3 linked regions of the Astyanax mexicanus genome follow. The protein of the gene in region 1 purifies or fractionates together with the protein of each later gene. This does not show direct contact. Links are inferred from orthologs where the notes say so. Each region holds a gene or a part of one and is shown on either strand. Other genes may lie near its edges.

Region 1 (7,648 bases):
ATTCCATTCAGAATGGAAATATATACATGAACACAGTAGTGTGCTATGGATATTATTTACAAGTAGGTGCATGTTATCTACAGCAGTGGAATATGAAAAAGTGCAAAAAGTTCAGTAGTGCAGTTATAAAATTGCAGTAAAGTGAGCATGTGCCTCTGAGAAATGTCCTTAACATGTAAACTTGTAGAGAGTAAAGTGAAATTAACACCAGGTTACACATTAAAATGCATTCTATTGAGACACTGCTGTGTACTTTATTTATTTAGTCTTTTCTCACTTAAACACTTGCAGAAAATCTTAATCTTAATCTTAAAGTCTTAATTCATCCATTCTTGCAGGAGGAAACACTACTTTTGGCCAAAAGATTGCATAATGGATTAAGAACAAAAAAAATCCTTGGAGGTGTAAACCACTACAGCCCTGATCAGACAGAATCCCAAGAATGGATGGAATCGGTCCCAGCATTACTGAGCAGGACTACAGAAAAGCCTCTCTGAGGAACGTCCAGCTGATCTTCATCTGACTTGCTAATGCAGTCGTGAGGATGCCAATTATGGGACTGCTTCTGTGAGGGCTGAAGCATGTTGCTCAAGGCTACAGTGACAACTGCAGTCTGTCTTCTAGTCATTTAAAAGTAAGACTGTTCAGGCATTCACCGGCCTCGCAAGATTTAGTGTCAACTTCCAAACTGAGTGTAAACAGAAATCCCCAAAAACTTACTCTGTATTAAAGGCCAGAGCTAATTTAAACAGGAATAAAGCTTTAGGGAATGTTTTACTAGTAGACTCTAATCACCTTTACCTGTAACGTTGGGAACAGAAGGGAGGCGGATTTAAATGCGGGTAAGACCAATACTTTAATAAATAACAAATAAACAAATAAACAAATAAACAAACAGGGGAATAACGAATATATCTATATACATAAACAAACAGGGAAAACCCACACAGAGCTAAGCTAAACAGATAATAACAAAACAGGGCTAGGGAACATATACAGGGGATAAATAAGTGAAAAATATACAAAATAAACAAAGAAACAGACAGGAACTAAACGTGAAAACAACAAACTAGAAATAAACAAGAACGTATAAATGCAAATGACCAAGAAACGAGGAATAACTATAACGTGGCGAGACAGACAACAAGGGAAGGTGCAAAGACCGACGGATAAACATGGACTAAAGTGAGCTATAAACAGTAACATGAAACACTGAACACCTAGGGAAGGGGCGGAGCTACAAATTACACACACGTGACGGAAAAGTACTGGAGAAACACAGTAGGAAACGGGGAAAACACAGGAAAACATAGCGAGGGCGTAACATTACCTTTAGTGATAGATATAGGGAGACTCAGCCCACATAAGTGATGACAATGACAGAAACCATAACTAACTATAATAAATGCAGCCTAAAAACAATGCAACTAAAACAGGAACAGGAACCATGGTCCAAACACTTACCCTGCTGCTTTCAGAAGCTGACTTTGCGTTTTCTCCCACTTTCCATCCTGCAGCCACCAGGTAAGTCACGTCCAGGTGGTTGGCTCTGGCACTGTCGTCTATGTGTGGCAGGATCTGCAAGGATTCAGATGTTAGAAGACCAGGGCCAATGCAGGAGTCTATACAAAAGGCTTCACTTACAAATATTTAGATCACATCGCTACATTTTCTGTCAAAATTAAACGTTTTTCTACAACTACAGTGGCAAAAGGTTAGTAAATCCTTTAGAATTTTCTATTGTTTAATTGTTTTGCAAAATATGACATAAAAAATATCAAAGTCCTAAAGGTAGATAAAGAGGACACACTTAAACAAATGGAACAAAAGAAAAATTAACCAATATTACATTTTTTTGAGTGGTTCCTGTCTTTCAAGCATCACTGTATGCATGCCTCTATCCTACAGATACAACAATGCAACAAAAAGTGCATTTCAATCTATTTCATGCAGTTTTACTGTTTTGAACAGGCCACTCTCTTGATCTATTTTGCCCAGGAACATAATTTATCTTATTTTAACATATCATGCTCAAACCACAAATGTGTTTTCTCGTAGATGCTAAATTAAGAAAATTGCTAGATGTTGTGTTAATACTAATTTTGCGTTCCTTTTTATTTTTGTACATACGGTATGATAGTGTGATGTTCTTTTTCTCTTGACATGCAGTATTCAAGCTCTTCAATCTCAACTACTGTAAGTATTCAATCCCAATTTAAGCTTCTTTAATATATTTACATTGTACTAAAATGCATTTATTTGAAATGGGCATATATACATATGCAGCTGAAACAGGGAGCCTAATGCATTGCATTTTTTCAACATTAACATTTTATTATAACATTATAGTCATTATGGCTTTTAGAAAAATGTGTTGTAGGGCGCGGGGGGGGGGGGGGGGGGGTAGTGCAGGCCTAATATTACTTGTAATGTAAATGATACAGACATTTTAAACCCTAGTGTCTATACTTCTACCTGAGTAATGCATCTGAATATTTTTTAATATTGGCTTTAAAATGGCTTTAAAATAACAGTGTTGTGTGTACTGGCAATACACCATATAAGTCATTACCACCTAAAGTGGACAGTGCAGTGGGTGGTGATGATTGTGACCGGCATTGTCTGGCTAGAATTGCCCATGCAAATAATCACATCACATCCACATTCAATGCAACATTTTCTGTTTGTATTCTGTGAGACATGGCAAAAGTCATTAAACACAATACTGGTTCCATATTCCATTTTTTTTTTTTTTTTGCCATTTTGCCATAATATGACACTTGTAGGCACTTTAAACAAGTTTGACAACATTAGCTTTTCCAACTTTGGAAAATGTCTATAAAATAACTTCCTGTTAGCATAAAATGAGTTAGTACATTAATATTTAGTTGTACTAACCTGCCAAACCAAATTGAGATTAGCATACAGTATATATCTCATAGTATTAGCGTGTCGTACACAGTTGGGACGCAGCCTTTGTTTTGTTATGTATGTAATAAATTCCCCCGGTACTCTTATGTCTTCTTTTTCACACTGGTCAGTGTTGTTTTCCCAGAGCTGTTCTGTACACAGTTCTAACCCCTCATCAAGGGCCCCTGGTGGCTTATAAAGACCCATCGCTTTAGCTGTGCAACTATTTGCACTGGGCCCAGGGGCGGCAGCTGCACTGCGTCAGTGGAAACAGCTCTAATTCAGTCTCTATTATTCAGAACAGGAATATTTTTTCCTCCTTTTTAACCCCATAGGGCTTCAGCCAACTTGTGGCCCCATGCAGAAATATAAATATAAATATATGAGCATAGATTTCTTTATGGGTAAAATACATTTTAAATACCTTTTATATATATTCTTATATAATGTAACATTTTAAAGATAAATATTCATGAGCATCTTCATGCATTTTTATATGTATTTATATATATATATATATATATATATATATATATATATAGTATATTGTAATAGTTTTTTTATAAATAAATTTAAATTAAAAACTAGTAGTAAAAAGTACAATATATAAACAAAATAAAAATAGAGTATATATATATATATACACTTATATATACACATTAATGCACTGTTTAAATGTACAATGTATAAAAATATACACTATGAACATATAGATGTTCAAATTACTATTTACATAAGCATGTAAGTGTCTATAATTATGTATAGTTTGTATGTTATTACTCTGTACATTTAAACAGTGCAAAAATGTATGAATAGTGTACATTAAGAGTGTATATGTAGACACTTATATTAAGGAAAAAAATGTTGGGCTATTTTCATACATTTACAAATGTCTTTATTTATGTATGTTATAAAAATATACATTAGATTTCTTTTTCATATAGGCAGCTCTTTTCCTTTGAAGTGGTCTCATGTTCAGTCTCATTCAAATCGTGTTGGTTCATTTAATTACAGTAAATCATCTAAACAATCAATCAGTTAATCAATCAACCTTTATTTTTACTTTGAGGTACACTCAGAGTGACTTTCATTTTTAACGTAGCTGAGCATTTACAAAACACAGTGACTGGAAAATAAAAATAAAACCAATAATATTATTTCATCTAATTATTCTAATATTTAAACTAATACAAAAAGACCAAATTAAGATTGAATCCATATGAGATGATAAAAGATCAAATAAAACCAAAAATATCATTTTAAAACAAGTAAAATGAGTCAAAACAAATAATGAAACCAAGACTAACTATTGAGTAAAGAACTACAAAAAGATTAACAGTACAAATGAAAGTAATAAACAGAAAATAAGATAATACACATTTACAGTGGATTTAGAACGAATAATTTCAAATAATTAATACAAATTAAAATAAAAAAATATTTACATATTTTGTATATATTTTTGCTTTAAAATAAAAACAAAACAAAATAGAAATAAAATGATTATTTTTCTCACCTCCTGCAGTATAACCCACCCCCCTCTGCTGGTCCCGCTGAGAACTGCACCGAATGAATTGAGATTTGTTCCACACCCGTTTTCCGAAAACCCCGCCCCCTTCGCCGTGATTGGCTAATAGTTCAAACAAGCGCTCTGGTGCAAACATTCTCTAATGTTTACTTGCACCCAATCACAGCTCAGGGAGCAGAACTCTCCAAGCAATCACAGTTGCGATAGGCGGGGCTTGCCTGAAAACGGGCGGGGAAACAGAGCGCGGTGCGCGCGCTTAATCCAGTTTGGAGCGCTCGGCTGAAGATGCCACTTGTGGAGATGTGACGGTGCGCTGACTCTGCAGCGCTGCGGACTGTCTCAACTGCTTCCCCGGATCCCTCTTCCTCTGGGAGGGCTGGAAACAAAGTCCTGGAGGATTCTGGAGGTGCAAAAAGAGAAGATCTGGTCCAAGGATGTGATGGTTCAGAAGTGGATGGATGCAGTTGGATGAGAAAGCAGACCCAATGAGAGCCAGGAGGAACTCAGCTTGGGACGGGGAGCCCAGACGGGCTTGGACATGATGATCCTGCCCGTCCACTGCAGGGAGTCAGAGCAGTAGAACTTTTCTCCTTTCCTTTATGGAGTGTCAAAAATGACCTTTTTCAAGTTGGTGAACGAGAGCAAAGATGCCATTGAAGCCCTCAATGAGACTTTGGACGTGGAGCCTTTATTGGTCAACAGTACCATTACAAAAAGGAGCACCAGCAGTAGAGGCGCCAACCTGACCTGCACTGGCATCCTCTTGGAGCCCCAAGTGGTGGCAGTGGGGGTCTTTTTGGCCATCTTCATCACGGTGGCGATTGTCGGCAACATTCTGGTAATTTTGTCAGTACTCTGCAACAGGCATTTGCGAACCGTCACCAACTTCTTCATTGTGAACTTGGCGATTGCTGACCTCCTGCTGGGAGTCGTGGTCCTGCCCTTCAGCGCCTCCCTGGAGGTTCTGGGATGCTGGGTGTTCGGCCGGGTGTTCTGCAACATCTGGGCAGCGGTGGACGTCCTGTGCTGCACAGCCTCCATCCTCAGCCTGTGCATCATCTCTGTGGACAGGTATGTTGGGGTCAAGTACTGCTTGAGGTACCCCACCATCATGACAGAAAGGAAGGCAGGTGTCATCCTGGTGGTCATCTGGGTGGCATCTGCCGTTATCTCCATAGGACCTCTCCTAGGGTGGAAGGAGCCACCACCAGCTGACGAAAGTGTCTGCAGCATCACCGAGGAACCAGGCTATGCCCTGTTCTCCTCGCTCTTCTCCTTCTACCTGCCACTTTCTGTCATCCTGGTGATGTACTTCCGGGTGTACGTGGTGGCCCGGAGGACCAGCCGGAGTCTGGAAGCCGGCGTCAAACGGGAAAGGGGAACCTCCACGGATGTGGTGCTGCGCATCCACTGCAGGAGCCTTCCCGAGGAGGCTCTGGAGCACAGTCGCAGCCGGGGCAGGGGTCAGCCCTTCCGCAGCTCACTGTCCGTGCGACTTATGAAGTTCTCCAGAGAAAAGAAGGCAGCCAAAACTCTGGCCATCGTGGTCGGGATGTTTGTGCTGTGCTGGCTACCCTTCTTCTTTGTGCTGCCGTTGGGTATGTAATGGGCTTCTTCTATTCTATTTTGCTTTTGCTGGGGGTTCATATTGAAGTCTTGGAAGTTTGTTTTAGAAGGTATAATAAATCAAATGTATTCTACACTGTTTTCTAGTAATTCAATATATAAATATATATATATTTTGCGATAGAATATGTTTAACTAATGGTAATATGATTTTACAACATGTTTTCAATATTTATTTCAATATAGATGATTTCCAGCCTCTGTACAGAACTGATTGTGGTTTGTTACAAGAGTGCATGCGTTTGCAGGTACAGATATCTGTTTTGAGCAGTTTATCTGTGGCTTTTATATTGTTCATATCAATCAAATCATTATTCATATCAAAATTATATTGTATCGATACAAATGTGCTAAATATAAGATCTCTTCTTAGGGATGCTTATATAAAACAAATATATGTAATTCTACAATGCACATTTTAGCTTCAGTAAATCATCAAATGTATTAGCTGTTTAACTACACTTGGGACAATTAATACATTTAAAAAGGGAAACTGTCACTTTAATGTATCTAAGGTAATTTAAAGCAGGATTAATTTGTAGATATGTACATGTTTTCTTTCAGAGGTAGTTTAAAGGGTTCTTTAAGTGAAGCAAAAGAGGAGACATTTTTTGTCTCTAGATAAAAAAACATTTTTGGAAAAAGATAGGACAAAAACGTGTACACTGGTTCTTCAAACATGCACATTGAACAAAAAATGTTTTTCCATGGCACCAATACAAATACAAGGACGCCCTGTATCATGTTCAATTTAGTGTAAAATGATTGCATACTTACAGTTTTTTTATATAGAGATATAGGTATATCCTAGGGCTGAACACTTTTTTGTTCAATATATATGCAATATATATTGAGATATAAAAAAAAAACCAAATGACCCAGCATGTCAGGATATTAATCATGCATTTAATTTCAATAATATTAAAATATATAAATATATAAATATATATATATATATATATATATATATATATATATATATATATATATATATATATATATATATATATATATATATTAGACAATAAAAGTCTACCTCTAGCCAAGATGTCATGGAACATTAGGACTGTGTTTATTTTTCTTGTGAATCAAACAGCTAAAAAGTTACATTCCCCTTACATAACACTGCACATGATCACACTGCAGTGATGGTGCTGAAACTATATATAAATTATATAGTATATATGCAGTAATACATTGTACTGTAAAGTAGTGTCCGTACATATTTGATCTAGGGGTTGAGGTTTTCCTGGAGGAGTCAGGATAAAGATTTGAGTCTCAGTGAATTTTTAATTTGTAGTAATTTGTGGCTGTCCATATTAAAATGTAATATATGCTCATGTATATGCACAAATAGCAAGGATTGGGTATATATTTTACAATATTGTATATGCACACACATATATAAAAATACATACATATATATATTAATAAATATGATAGTTTGTTTTTTAAGGTACTGGAAAATAAATTGTAATATATTGCTTTCTTTTTAGTACCACAATATATCGCCCTACTCTTAACATTGCAATATATCGCCGCCTTTATCTCAATATGACAGTATATTGCCTTATTCTCAAGATC
Region 2 (7,676 bases), on another chromosome or scaffold:
AAAATAAATTAAAAACAAAAGGAAATCACTTTATTTGCAATTAAATTTTTTACTTGAGCATAGGTCATATGTGACAAAAATAAAATTTTATTTATTTATTATTTTTTTACTATTTCATTTTAATTACCATGTAGGTATTTCACAGTTAAAACTAAAATGAAAAAGATAATTGTAAAATAAAAAGACAAATAAAAGCTTCACTTTGGTCTTGCCTTTTCTTGATGAATTGTATAATAAACGTCAAAAATAGAATAAAAATGCAATAAAAATGCAATAGATAGTCTTAATAACTGTTAATACGTTGTACATAAATGACCCACTAATGGACTGGATGCTATGATGCCATTTATTGATCTGCAGCAGCAGAATTAATGAAACATGCCTTATAAGACTTATAAGACTTTTATCATTTTGTTAAACTGTTCTCAGCACAGATCTCACCTCGTAAACTGCCTCCATCTTCCACTAAAGGATGTTTTAATAGTTCAGTGTCAGGCATCGCACAGCACGCATCAAAATCTGTAAATAAATAGTAAATAATTGGCTGAATAATAATAATAATTAATAAATAATAATAATAATAATAAAGCACAGAGCTGAAAGTAACAGGAATGACTTTTTAGCATGAAATTAGCAAAAACATGAAAAATAGCTAAAAAAAAAAAAAAGACCTCTGAAGGATTGTAATAATTATATAATCTTATTTTGTTTACATTACATTACATTTATACATGTAATTTTCTGGGGACAGAAATGGCACAGATTTGGTGGAACGGCCCTTAACCACTTAGGTTATAAGAATCATTAAAATTTTAAGCAGGCAGCACTGTGGGCATGACAAAACCCACCCCTTACATTAAAGAAAATTAAAGTAAAATCTGTATAAAATTCTCTTTTCTTGTAATAATACGTTTATTTTGAGTGAATATGTAGAAAAAATGCTTTCTTACACAAACAAATATAACAAATATTAGACTTGGACATTTATTATTGAGGAAAATGATCCATTTTTGAGTGGAAAAGTGTCAAGCTAACATCTAAAACTAAAACTAAACAAACTTTATATCAAGTTTTATCAAAGTAAAAATAACTTCAGAGCCAAAACACGTAACTTAATTCACTAGCTTACCTGTTCAGACGCAGACAGGTGATGCTGTTTATCTTCAGCTTTGTGTATCACTGACGGTTGCTAAGCAACAAGCGCGCAAACACACGGAAACAGCGCAGGAGGGCAGCAGTGAAGCACCAGCATGGATTTTTAGTTTATAGTAGAGCTGTGTAATCCAGATCCAGAAAATTAAAATCCATCGCAGGGTTTCGCACCAACTGCCTGGTCCGCGGAGCAGGCAGTTGGTACAAAACCCTGGGACGGGTTTTTTTCCCGTTTTTTTACACCTCTAGTTTATAGCTATTTCTACTTAAAGTTCTTTATAGACCAAATTAACTCGTTTACTCTAGAAAAAACTGCTCAAAACAGCACAGGACAGCTTTAAATACCCCCAAAAAACTAACAAAAACACACAGACGAAAGCAGCAACCGTTCTGGAGATATTTCTAGTAATTAAAAATAATATCTGAATTTTAAATAGGATTTAAGGCCAAATATATATATATATATATATATATATATATATATATATATATATATATATATATATATATATATACATATATATATATATATATATATATATATATATATATATATATGTATATATATATATATATATATATATATATATATATGTCGTATTTGTTATAATTACACTATATTAATAAATATTTCTTTTCTATATAAAAACAAAGCCAATGGGAGCAGGGAGAGCACAGCCCCGTGGAGAAATTCCGCATTACGTCATTGAAGCAGCGCGTGCTGTAGTGAAGCGGAGGTGTTCTGCCAAATTGTGCTACCCAACGATATGTGCTATCGAGCGGCTCTGCGCATGCGTGAATTATTTCTTCATTTATTTTTTTTCATGCGATTTTCCTTACAATTATAGCTTTTTTCCCCTCGGGTACATGATACAAACTGTGCTCACTGTCATTGTTTGCTTGAATGACACAAAAAATATATATAATAAAATATAACGAAAAATATATAATAATTCATATTTTTACAGCGATTGAGGCTAATATTAAACTATTATAATAAATTATTAAAATATTATACCAAGACGTTGTGTAAGAAAAAAATATATATATATAATTTTAAAAATTAAAAGGTTTTTAAATCACCTATATTGCATTAACTTTGCACTGATTCAGCAGTATATTGCTTTACATAGGTATATTGCCTTAACTTTACCCTGATGCAGCGATTAAGACTTCAAATATCAACGATTATTACAAATATTACAAATATTATAAAAAAAAATTGTGTATCATTTTTTGCACGAAATCTTATAATAAAATATAATGAAAAAAAAACATTAAAATGGTTTCACCTATATATAATCACCTATATTTCTTTAACTTACATTTTCTACACCAATTTACGCTATTTAAATATCATACAGAGACTTATTATAAAAGAAATTATAATACATTATGATACAAATACTACTTAAAAGTATATCAGCGTAACGTTAGGCCAATATAGGTGATTAGAACCCGCTTTTATAGTACTTTTTCATTATATTTTATTTTAGTTTTTTTAAACACAAAAATCTTTTTTTATTATATTTGTAATAATAGATACCGCGATTTATGCTATTCAATATCATATATCAAATATAATACAAATATTATTTAAAAAAATGAAAAATTATATAATAAAATATAATAAAATAAATATATAAAAGCAGGTTTTAATCACCTATATTTAATTTACTTTTCCATTTTTACAGCGATTCACGCTATTCAAATATATATTAATGATATCATTCCGAGATTTATACCCTGGGTAATTTTTGGTATTTTTAGCTTTAAGTATATAGCTACAGTAGGGGGGTAGCAGGGTTTGGCATGGTAGCAGAATCGGACAGTACACCGGCGCTGCTGTGAGTTCAGTGCTGCAGTTAGGGCTCATATATGTGCTGTAATGCTGGAATTTACGGCGCGGTAGTTTAATACAGCGGGGATTATGTACCGGTCCCGGTCCTGCGGACCCCGGGCAGCGCGCAGTACCGGTAACACCGGCCGCCGGGGTTTATTCTCGCGGTTTGGGCGGTGATGCGGCGGAGGGCTGGTGAGTACCGGGGGCAGGTCTAACCCTGCTGCTGCTGCTGATCAGAGTTACACTGTCTGTTTCCTAATAAATATAATAAATACAGTTTATAACAGCTGAGTGAGACTAGCAATATAATAATAATATATTTATTTATATAACTAACTAACAACACTGATTTAATGGGAAAAAAGGGAAACAGCAAATTATTTATATATCAATATTAATAAATATATTTATTAATTCCAGAGTGAAATTCTAAAATGTATAATATGTATATACAGCTCTGGAAAAAAATAAGAGACCAGAGTTTCTCTGATTTTGCTATTTATAGGTTTATGTTTGAGTAAAATGAACATTGTTGTTTTATTCTATAAACTACAGACAACATTTCTCCCAAATTACAAATAAAAATATTCTCATTTAGAGCATTTATTTACAGAAAATGAGAAATGAGAAATGGCTGATATAAAAGTCATTATTTCAAGATACTGTCTCATTATTTTGAGATATTAAGTCATTTTTTTAGATGCTGTCTCAATATTTTAAGATACTAGGCCATTATTTTGAGATACTATTTCATTGTTGGTAGATACTAGCCTAGGTCATTATATTGAGATAGCATGTCACTATTTTGAGATACTATCTCAATATTCTGAGATGCTGGATCATTATTTTGAGATACTATCTCAATATTCTGAGATACTGTCTCTATATTCTGAGATGCTGGATCATTATTTTGAGATACTATCTCAATATTCTGAGACACTAAGTCATTATTTTGAGATACTATCTTAGTATTTTGAGTCAAAAAAGTTTTGATTCCTTTAAAAGCACCTATATTTCATGATGTGAATCCATGTCTGAAGTAGTCAATGATAGTATAGTATCTTTGCTTCTGTCTCTGTACAGTCTACTAGTATCTTAAAATAATGAGATAGCGTCTCAAAATAATGACTTAGTATGTCAAAATAGTCACTTAGTATGTCACAATATTGAGAGAGCAGTTTGCTTAATAATAATAATAATAATAATAATAATAATAATAATAATAATAATAATAATAATAATAATAATAATAATTAAAATGTGCTGGATTATTTAAATTATTTTAAGGTGGTGGGAATGGGCTTCCATAAGCTAGCCTTAGAGAGAAAGTAGATGTGAGAGTGAGGAAATCTCCTGAAAGACTTTGTGAAATGGGTTTGAGGAAATGGTTAATTACCATGCTTTAGAAACTACACATTACAGGACATAAATTACAGCGATGCTTCCCCAGCTACTGCAGCGTAGCCTCTTTATTTCATTAACTCCATATATTACTCTGGAATAAAGAGAGAGGTGGCAGTGGGGCGTTTAGAGGCAGGGCAGAGGCATGGTAACCGAGTCTGGAGCTGGGGGATCCGGCTGAGCCGGGGAGGAAGAATGTGAGTCTGATCAGTAGAGGTTAAAGATAGAGCAGTGCAGGCTGGAGCCGGACAGTTTCTAATTTCAGGAGCTGCTCTCGCCTCGCTGCTCTGCTTTTGTTGTTTGTGGTGGAGTGGGGTGGGGTGGTGGGGTGGTGGTTTAGTGGTCGGCCTATTGAGAGGCAGAGGGGCGTCCAGAGCAGGAGCTTCATTACAGCCTGCAGGACTTTAACAGCAGGACGAGGTACGTCCTGTGGTCTGCAGGTGGATCATGGTACTGTCTGAAGGGTATGTATTCTCATATTTTAAATATACCTACTGTGTTTTACTCTCTGAGTCTGAGAGTCTGGGTCAGTTGTGTTTGGTTTGTAAGTGTCCTGTAAAGTCTCTGAAGGACAAATCTGTTATATTGAGTTTAACCTCTTAAGTTCTGCAGAACCACCTGTTATTCCTGGTGTTTGCATTGATTTGCATGTAGTTACTGGAAAAAAAATGTATTATGCACCTGTAATCTAGTTTTATATTGCTTCTACTTCCCTATGCTTCCATACTCTTCTTTTATATTATGTGTATTTATCTTGTTTTCTATTTCATTCCAATTTATATTGTTTTATTTTGTTTTATCCTACATAATAATTGCTCTTTTGGACAGAACTGGGCCGTGAGATTACAGTTTCGTTTCACCTCATGTACCACGTGTGATTTTTTAAATCACAGCCTGTTTTTAAATCTTTATTTGTACTATAATTACACTCTGTACAACATGTACATCTGCACTCTGTGACTCTATTGACATTTTACTGTACATCTTGTACATTCACAGTCCTGTGCACTACTTACACTTAAGTTAAATACATTACTTGCGTCGGTTTATATTTAGTATTGGCATATCTGCTTATACATGCTTTCCCTTATACTTAATTTATAATAAATTTATTTACCTCATATCAATGGTTAGGTCTATCTATTGCTTGAAGACTAACCCTTAGGATGTTATAGGTTATATGTAATAAGTAACAGAGCATAAGGTGTTATGCTTGCCATATGATCACTACATAGTAAAATATTTTTATCTTTTACATTAAAACATTAAACAAAACTCATTCAAACTTATACCGTATACCGAAATTTAATTTCAGATTTCAGTTCTTACAGAACATACTTTACAGTTTGCTTTCCTGCTTTATTTTGCATGGATTGACTAGCCATTTGCTTGATTATAATGATTATAATTTGTATGTATTTATTTATTAGTCCCACTTTGTCTTATTGTAAGATACCTGGAAAATAAAACCCTGGTCAAGATTTCTTCATCATTTCTTAACTTATAGGGTTTAGTATTCGTTTTTTTTCTGGTGTCTTTTAAAATGTGGTTGCTTGATTAATTGTCAAAATGATTACACAACACATCAAATAGAAATGTAGCGGATTGCATGATATTTGGTGTTATAAAATGAGAGAAATGCTATTATTCTTCTGTTTTTTGGGGGGTAAACATGCTGTTAGTGAGAGTGGCGCTGGCTGGCTGGCTGGCTGGTGTTGGTGTGTTGGTGGATTGGGGGCAGCGCATTCTCTGAACCTAATCATGCATTTCAGACTCAGCGCTGATGAGCAGAATGGGCTCGGATGAGTAGAATCCGTGAGATTGCCGGATCTCATAGCCCTGTTTCTCTCGGATAGTTTAATAGTTTAATCCATGTGTTGGCAGGCGACGCTCGGATCGTTTGGAGCGGGTTCTGCTGGAGTTGTTATCAGAGAGGAATGCAACCTTTTTAAAATCACATTACTGTTTTTTACTGTCTGTATCTGTAGGATCTACATCTCTTATAAATGATTAGCAGCATCTTTTCATACGTGTCTGACACGTTTCACACAATCTACTCACTAATAAGGCTGGGTATTGTTTTAAAATTTTCAATACCGATACCAAAACAATACCTATTTTGATACTTTTTTCTAAATTGTAACCAAACATTAAAGGTCACCTTCCGCGAAAATCCGATTTTTCTTGTTTTTTGTGGAATACAGTAGGTCTCTCCGAGTTGAATGTGTACACCTGCACATTAAACTGTTTTGCAGCCCCCATTGTCTGCAGGAGCTAAGCAAAGAAATCCCCCCTCCCCCCCTCCGAAAAACGGGTGAATTTTGAATTATCTTTCTGCCTACGTAGGCAGAAACTCACAGACCAGCCCACCTTGGCTCGAGAAACTCCCAGAGGCGGAGCTGAAGCGACGCAACATCACCGCTCATCAGTTAGGAGGTGGGAGGCAGTGAGCGGCAGAGCGGTGGAGGGGCGTCGCAGTGCTCCTAGCCAATCAGAGGAGAGATATTTGCATGCTGTTTGCATGTATGAATATTCATGAGCAAAGCTGGAATCCGGTCATTTTGGACACACCCCTAAAACAGTCCATTAAAAAAGAGCTATACAGAGACACCTGAGCACTTTTTTTTTACAAAAACGGCTCACATGTCATTCATTCATACTAGAGACCACAACTAGACATTTTAAAATGAAAGAAAAAACGACGGAAGGTGACCTTTAAAAAAGTGATAATAATTCCCACACAGTGTATTTATTTAACTCATTCTCATACTGTCACCATAAGAGGAAACATCTTTCTGGATCCTGTTGAAATAAAAATAAACACTAAGCATTTGGTTTGTGGGGTTTGACAGCGGGGTAAACATTTTGAAGAGCTCTATAGTCTAAATCTACTTCGAAAGATTCATCTACACTTTATTGTACTTCAACCTGTCGACTCTCTCCCTCTCTCTCTCTCTCTCTCTCTCTCTCTCTCTCTCTTTAGGATGTTCTGTCTCTCTCTTACTCTCTGTCTCTCTCTTCTGTCTCTCTCTCTCTCTCTGTCTCTCTATGTCTTTTCTCTCTCTCTCTCTCTCTCTCTCTGTTTTTCTTAGTCGCTTTGTCTCTTGCCCCCCCTTTCTCTCTTTCTTTCTCTCTCTCTTTCTGTCTCTCTCTTGGATTTTCTGTCTCTCTCTTACTCTCTGTCTGTCTCTCTCTCTGTCTCTCTTGTCCCCTTTTCCAGCTCTTTCTTATATTTCTTAAAAAGAACCCTTTAAAACTGAGCTGCATCCAACATTTTGCT
Region 3 (7,185 bases), on another chromosome or scaffold:
TTTATAAAGCACACAAACAGCTGGAGTAGAAAACTGCCTCCAACTAACACTAAACTGAAAGAGGCCATGCAGGTCATGTGACATCAGTTTCACTTCCAGTTTGGGTTTTGGGATGCACAGTTCTGTTGTGTCAGCCACTCTGTGTTTGGCCCTGCTGGAGGTCACTCGGTTCTAGCTTCAGAAGAAGGCAGTGAAAGTAGAACGGAGCATAAATAGAGCCCCTTGTTTTATTGCCCATTTTTTAATTGGACAAAACAAAAGATCTCATCTTTGGTGAAGCATCCACAGTGGACACCATCTGCAGCTCAGCGTTCAGCTAAGTTAAATTAGTGTAATTCTTTAGTTTGTGGTCTGATCAGCAGTTTTAGGCCTGACTGACCTGTGGACAAGAACAGATCTGAGAGCGTGTGATGGTGATATCAGCCTTGCTCTCCTGCTACGCTGATCAAACTGGAAACACAATCGGACCTTTATTTTGAATGGGCTGTTTTGTAACACTACTCCCGACTCCAGCAGCAGAGGGACTTTACTGTCCTGCAGACCTGACTAATTTTACTGCTCTTTTTTCTGTTTTATTTTACTGGTATACAGACAGCACCTATACTATGTGGTTGACTGTATTAGGACACCTGCTCTTTCTTCTGATTTAAAGGTATTAAAAAAAGCTGATCTTGACTCTGTTTGAGTAATTGTCACTACTGGCCAGGGAAGACTTTCTAATAGAATTTGGAGAATTGCTGTGAGGATTTCATTGTTTTCATTGAGTGTTAGCAAGGTCATGATGATGAAAGATCACCACCCCACCTCACCTCTTTAACTCATCCTAAAAGGAATGGATGCTGTAATATAAGGGGTGTCCACAGAAACGTGGAGGTATGTGTATTATTGTGTATTTCTATCGTACAGTATCAGAACTGGACTGTGACCAGTTAGTCCCAGAACAGCTGCATAAAGGCCAGAGTACCCTGACTGAACAAACATTATTACATAATGGATGTTCATGTTTGTCTAAAAATATCTAGTTGGGTTCATAGCCATTAATTCATGGGTGTTCCTGTTTCATTACGTTTAGGTTGTTGGTCATAACTTACAACAGATATTTCCACATACCAGCATATACACCTAAACGCAACTCACACTTTCCTGGTTGCTAGGGACCAGTTCATTTATTTCACTGGTTAGGTCAGATATCAATAATGGCATTGTTTCAGACAGTGGAAAGAGATAAACTCTTGACTGATTTGTGAGACAAAGCAGAGATGAAAAAGTAGGACTGGGCAATATGACAATATTTTATTTCATTGAGAAAACGTGTTAATGTGATACAGTATACTTTTATAAACATATTGTGGATATCATCAGTGCTTAATGAACACTGACCAACTGTGCACTTGTGTATAGAGAGTGTTATTAGTGCAGTTTAACAGGATATAATGAAGAATGTTAAATATAAATCACTGTACTGTATGGAGGAGTATTTCAGAATCATCTTCACTGATATATTATCTGCATTAAAAGTATTGTGCTAAATACTATGATATTATGATATACTGTGATATAACATGATATTTTGACCAATATATTTTAACAATATTTACACTAGCATAAAAAGCTTGACTAAAGCAATTAATAACAAGGCTCAAATATATGTAATACTGCTAACCTGTGGCTAAATCCCTATTAATCAGATGCGTATTATTGTTTCCTTTTTGCCTGCATTTTCATCCTATAGCTGACAGGCCTTGTGTGTGACACCTGGGATCTAAAAGTTCTAGATGTACAACTTGAGATTGAAAAAGTTCTAGAATATAGATACAGCCTGGTTACTGCCACCATTCTGGTGTTAGAGCGCAAGCGTGCATGGTCAAAGTGCCCTAGCTCTAGAATATAACTTTGCTCGATCACATTCCAGAACACAGTAAACCCAGGCTGGCTGAGTGTTTAGTTTTAGAACATGAGTGTGCATGCGCAAGAGTTCTAGTTCAAAACCAAGAATGTGCTAGCTATGCGTTCTAGTTTTAGAACAATAGTGTGCTAAGTCAATACTGCAGAACCAGTACAGCAGAACCCGCGTGCCCGGCTGTGTGTGTTTATATTTGAGGCGGGAGCGGTGTTATCGCAGCGCAGCCCGCAGGCCGTGTAAATCCCCGGCTTTGCGTTGAGCACTCACCCTCCAGCGTCACCTCCTTCCCCGCCTTTTTCAGCGCCTGCACCGCCTGGTCGTGCGTGGCTTCGCGGAGGTCGCTGCCGTTAACGGACAGGATCGCGTCTCCCACGCGCAGCGCGCGGCTCTGGTCCGCGGCCAGACCGGGGAAGATTTTGGAGATGAGGATGGGCATGCGGTTCTCCCGGCCACCCTTAATGCTGATACCCAGTCCGCCGGACTCTTGCTTCACCACCCGGACCTTCCTCACGGTCTCCGCTGGGCTCGTGTCGAAGTTTGCGCTGCTGTTGCCGCCTCCTGCCCCCTCCCCATGTCTGGAGCTGAAACTGGAGCCTGGGCTTCCGTAGCCTGACCCGGGACTGCCGTAGTCCGAGCTAGTGCCGTTGTCGCGGCTCGGTCTGCGGGGGCTGCTGTAGCCGTACACGCTGCCACCACTGGGCTTTAAGTGCCCGTGGTTCGGCTGAAGCTCCGGGTTCTGGTTCCGGAGTCGGTTCTGTTCGCTGATGGGATCACCCCCGTTAGACAGTCCGTTTCTGAGCTCCACACCGCTCGCTTCCCCCTCCGCAGTCAGGGTCAGAGTGTCCCGGTTCAGGTCGGCCGTGACCCGGACCCAGCGCTCGCGCAGCAGCAGGTCCAGCTGACCGTTCTTATCCGCACGAGTCCAGATCGCCATCACCCGCGCGCGCTCAGTCCAAACTCCTCATACCGAACCCCTCATACCGTCCGAACTTTCAGTTTCCGCTCCCGAGTACAACTCTACACACACACACACACACATGTACACGCCCACACACACTCTCTCTCTCACACACACACACACAAACTCACACACACACAGTTTACAAGTTTGCGTGTTTTCCCTACCCGTTTTCAGACTAGCCCCGCCCCTCGTGCTATTGGCTAAGAGTTTGTAAATCAGAAGTATCTGGAGAGAATGGCCTCTCTCCTCCTCAACAAGTGCGCACTTATCTTCTACAACACTTCATCCAGCTTCTTAAACGTGACTTGTGTTCTAGAAATGCACGCCTGTTGTACATTGTGTTCTACATCACGTAGTAAACATGCACTTCAGTTCCAGGGCTTTTGCTTTGAGTTCAGCTTTATGTTTTTGTGTGAGGGCCCCTTGTTTTAAATGATAAAAATAGCATGCTCTTCTGTTGTAGAGCGCTCAGTCAGAGCACACTGTAATAATTACATTTTTGTTGAAACACGTGCTCATGCTAAGGTCCTGCACTGGGGTTCTGCACAGTCAGCAAGAAAATGTTTCTTAGAAGTGGAATCATTTGCATAAACCACCTGTTAAGGGTGATCATCCAATATAAATTATGTTTAACAGGTTAGCCATAGGTTTACATATTTAAAAAAGGGCCGTTCTGGTTTGTGTAGAGATGTTTTTTCCTCTGTGAGGATGGAGCTTAATTAATAAAAAGTGTAATTTGAGGTTTGTGGGGGTTTTTTGTGGGTGGTGGTGGTGGGGGGGGGTGGTTTTTGCATTAATTGTGCTATAAGAGCATTATAACAATCAGTTTTCTGAGTCATCCAACTGGGGTTTGGCTGGATTATAAGGCTGGAACAGCCAATAGGGTGTCAGTTCTCAGGATTGTAGTCCACAAGGCAATCATGCCTGAGTAAGCTGCTGCAGGGAAGCTGCTGCAGGGAGGGGGGCGGGGGGGGGGGATATTCCAACAGAGTGCTACTCTTATAACAGCCCTGTTATTATAACAGTTATAAACACAGCCTGCTCCTCCTCCTCCAACTCTCCCTCCATATTTCACCCCTCCTGTCCTTAAAGTCCAGTCAGGAGTCCAGCCAGGCCAAGCCACCCCTACCCTCCTACAGTTACTATGGCAACCTAAATACAGCCTTATTAAACATCAATAACTGATGTTTGTACATATGGCGAATTATACACATGGTGAATTAAAATGTTGCACATTCTAAACCATAAGATCAGTAATAAGTTAACTGTTTCAATTCACACTGTAAGAAATAGTAAACTACAGTTGGACATTCTTGCAGCAGCAAGGAGGGACGGACCTGTGGTATCTCTACTTCACATACCGTGGGTATAGCAGCAGCCAGGCACTGAAGAAACTGCCCAATGCTGTGGTGAGTGGTGCATAGGTTCTACAGCATGTGTTTAAACGCCGTTCTCATGCTCCCATCTCACACCACCCCAGGACAGAGCTGGACCTTGCGATGATCTTGTTCAGTCTCTTCCTGTCAGCAGTGGAAATGTGAGACCCTTTGGGATTTCTTTGATTTTTGCCTAAACTAAAACCACACAAAATATATATGTTTCCATGGTTTTATTGAACACAACATGTTAACATTCACAGTGCAGGGTGGAAAAAGTATATAAAACTCTAGGCTAATGACTTTTCTAAGAGCTAATTGGAACCAGGATGTGATGAGATTGGATGTGTTGGTTAAAGCTGTCCTACCCTATAAAAACACACACCAGTTTTGAGTTTGTTGTTCCTAAGAAGCACTGCTTTTGAATCATGCCTCGCACAAAAGATCTCTCAGAGGACCTACTGTACATTCAGGAACTGTTGACTTGTATGAAGCTGGAAAGGGTTACAAAAGTATCTCTAAAAGCCTTGATGTTCATGTGTTCACAGTAAGACAGGCGGTCTACAAATGGAGAAAGTTCAGCACTGTTGCTATGCTCCCTAGGTGTGGTCGTCCTGTAAAGATGACCGCAAGAGTACAGTGCAGAATGATCAATGAGGTGAGGAGGAATCCTAGAGTGTCAGCTAAAAACTTACAGAAATTACTGTCACATGCTAACATTTTTGTTGACAAATCTACAAAAAGGAAAAACATTAAACAAGAATGGAGTTCATCAGAGAACACCACAGAGGAAGTCACTACTGTCCAAAAAAACATTGCTGCAAGTTTGAAGTTTGCAAAAGAGCACCTGGATGTTCCACAGCAGTACTGGCAAAATATACTGTGGCCAGATGGAACCAAAATTAAGTTGTTTGGAAGTAACACACAACGTTTGTGTGTGGAAAAAAGGCACAGCACACCCTCATCAAAACCTCATCCTAACTGTGAAATATGGTGGAGGGGGCATCATGGTTTGGGGCTGCTTTGCTGCCTCAGGGTCTGGAAGGATTGCTGTCAACAACGGAAAAATGAATTACAAAGTTTACCAAGACATTTTGCAGGAAAACTTAAGACCATCTGTCCACCAACTGAAGCTCAACAGAAGATGGATAACAGGACAAACGACCTAAAACATAGAAATAAATCAAGAACCGAATGTCTTCAACAGAAGAAAAAACGCCTTCTGGAGAGTCCTGATCTCAACCCAATTGAGATTCTTCCTGACTGTTCTGCAGGTCTGATCTGCAACTACAGGAATCATTTGGTTAAGGTTTTTGCTGCCAAAGGAGGGTCAACCAGTTATTAAATCCAAAGGTTCACATACTTTCCCTCCCTCACTGTGAATATTAACATGTTGTGTTCAATAAAACCATGCAAACATATATTTTTGTGTGGTATTAGTTCAAGCAGACTGGGTTTGTCTATTCTTGTGACTTAGATGAAGATCAGAACACATTTAATGACCCATTTGTGCAGAAATCCAAGTAATCCCAAAGGGTTGACATACTTTTCCTCCAACTGTATCCTGTAGTATTTGCATAACCTATTTACAATGGGTTACATTTTGTTTATTATTTAAATTAATTCTAATAAAACTTAAATTCCAAACAAAGTTGGGAAACTGTGTAAAATGTAAATAAAAAAGAATGCAATTCCAATCTCATAACACCCATATTTTATTTATAATACAATAAAATAAATATCAGATGTAAAGTAAGCTTTACCATTTCATAAAAAAGTTAGCTCCTTTAGAATAGAATTTGATGGCAGCAACACCTCTTAAAAGGTTGGGACAGAGCTATGTCTACTGTTGTGTAGCATCACCTCTTCTTTGAACAGCTGCGTGTAGAGTTTTTGATAGAGAATTTTCAATTTTGCAACCCCATACATTGGCTGAAAGAAGATGGCATTGTTTCTGGATCATGTTAACATTTGTGTTCACAGACAGTTAACTGTGTTCACAGACAGTGATTTCCTGAGTTCCTGAGACCATGCGGTGGTTTCTTGTCGATTTGTTCACAGAAATGTCTCCAGATTCTAGCAAACACTAGCAAAACGCAAAACTAGAAAAGAGTCAATCAGGATGGATAAGGAGAGAGTATTTCTCTCCAGCGCACCTGTTACGTTTATTTAAACCAAAGCAAGCAAACTTAATTCAATGCATCCTAACAGAGCCGACTGATATCATAATACATAATTTTTTTAGGGATGAAAAAGTGTGATTAATGTCAGAATACTGTTGCGGTTAATCAGATTTTTAAACTTCTATTGTGATTAATTAAACTACTGTTTATTTCTGTTGTCAGATAAAATTCACCATCTAAAACACAGTGCAGACTCTTAACCATACTTAACCATCGTACAGGAACATTTTGTGGCTCATGTCATCTAAAGATTTTTAAAGTCAAATTATCTGTTGTCTCTGAGGTCTGTAGTACCTCCATAGAGACTACACCTTTTTTAGCACCACCCTTCAGCAAGTTATATATATATATATATATATACTGTTTATGAATGAGACCCACAACAGCCCAGCCAATAAAAAAAAACTTGTTTACATAAATCAGTATTACAGGTACAGTGTGTTTAAGTGTAAGAGATATACAGAGGTTGAAGTAGAAATGAATGAGTATTTACTTATAACTCACACAGGCTGTGAGGCTGATAGTGGAGCTGAGGGTGGAGAATGTGGGATATATGTTCTTTATATCTCTACACTGGACAGAGATGCTGAAAACAGAATTTCTTCAAATGAATGTGTTTTCAATTTTTATTTATTGCAGATCTACAGCATTTAAAACACTGTGAGTGAAGGGATTTGCAGTCGGGGGGTCTGGGCTTGTGGGAAGGGGGTGTAGGGAGGTGTTGATGGTGATGCAGGATGTTCAGAAGCTCTCTCTGCCAAT

What was found. Proteins that work in one complex are often made in the same cells at the same time.
Region 2: the proteins of adra1d (region 1) and dtna purify together in Homo sapiens (tandem affinity purification; 4 studies listed by BioGRID and IntAct, with this or other methods). This does not show direct contact. The link is inferred for Astyanax mexicanus from reciprocal best matches to the Homo sapiens genes ADRA1D and DTNA.
Region 3: the proteins of adra1d (region 1) and sntb2 purify together in Homo sapiens (tandem affinity purification; 4 studies listed by BioGRID and IntAct, with this or other methods). This does not show direct contact. The link is inferred for Astyanax mexicanus from reciprocal best matches to the Homo sapiens genes ADRA1D and SNTB2.

Annotation. Positions count from the first base shown.
Region 1 is NC_064432.1:568,398-576,045, reverse strand, and holds the start of adra1d (alpha-1D adrenergic receptor), read left to right. Parts: upstream 1-4,643; 5' UTR 4,644-5,051; coding exon 5,052-6,036; intron 6,037-7,648. UniProt on the Homo sapiens protein: This alpha-adrenergic receptor mediates its effect through the influx of extracellular calcium.
Region 2 is NC_064413.1:498,096-505,771, reverse strand, and holds the start of dtna (dystrobrevin alpha), read left to right. Parts: upstream 1-4,667; 5' UTR 4,668-4,843; coding exon 4,844-4,860; intron 4,861-7,676. UniProt on the Homo sapiens protein: May be involved in the formation and stability of synapses as well as being involved in the clustering of nicotinic acetylcholine receptors.
Region 3 is NC_064417.1:11,125,124-11,132,308, reverse strand, and holds the start of sntb2 (beta-2-syntrophin), read right to left. Parts: upstream 3,010-7,185; 5' UTR 2,838-3,009; coding exon 2,171-2,837; intron 1-2,170. UniProt on the Homo sapiens protein: Adapter protein that binds to and probably organizes the subcellular localization of a variety of membrane proteins. May link various receptors to the actin cytoskeleton and the dystrophin glycoprotein complex.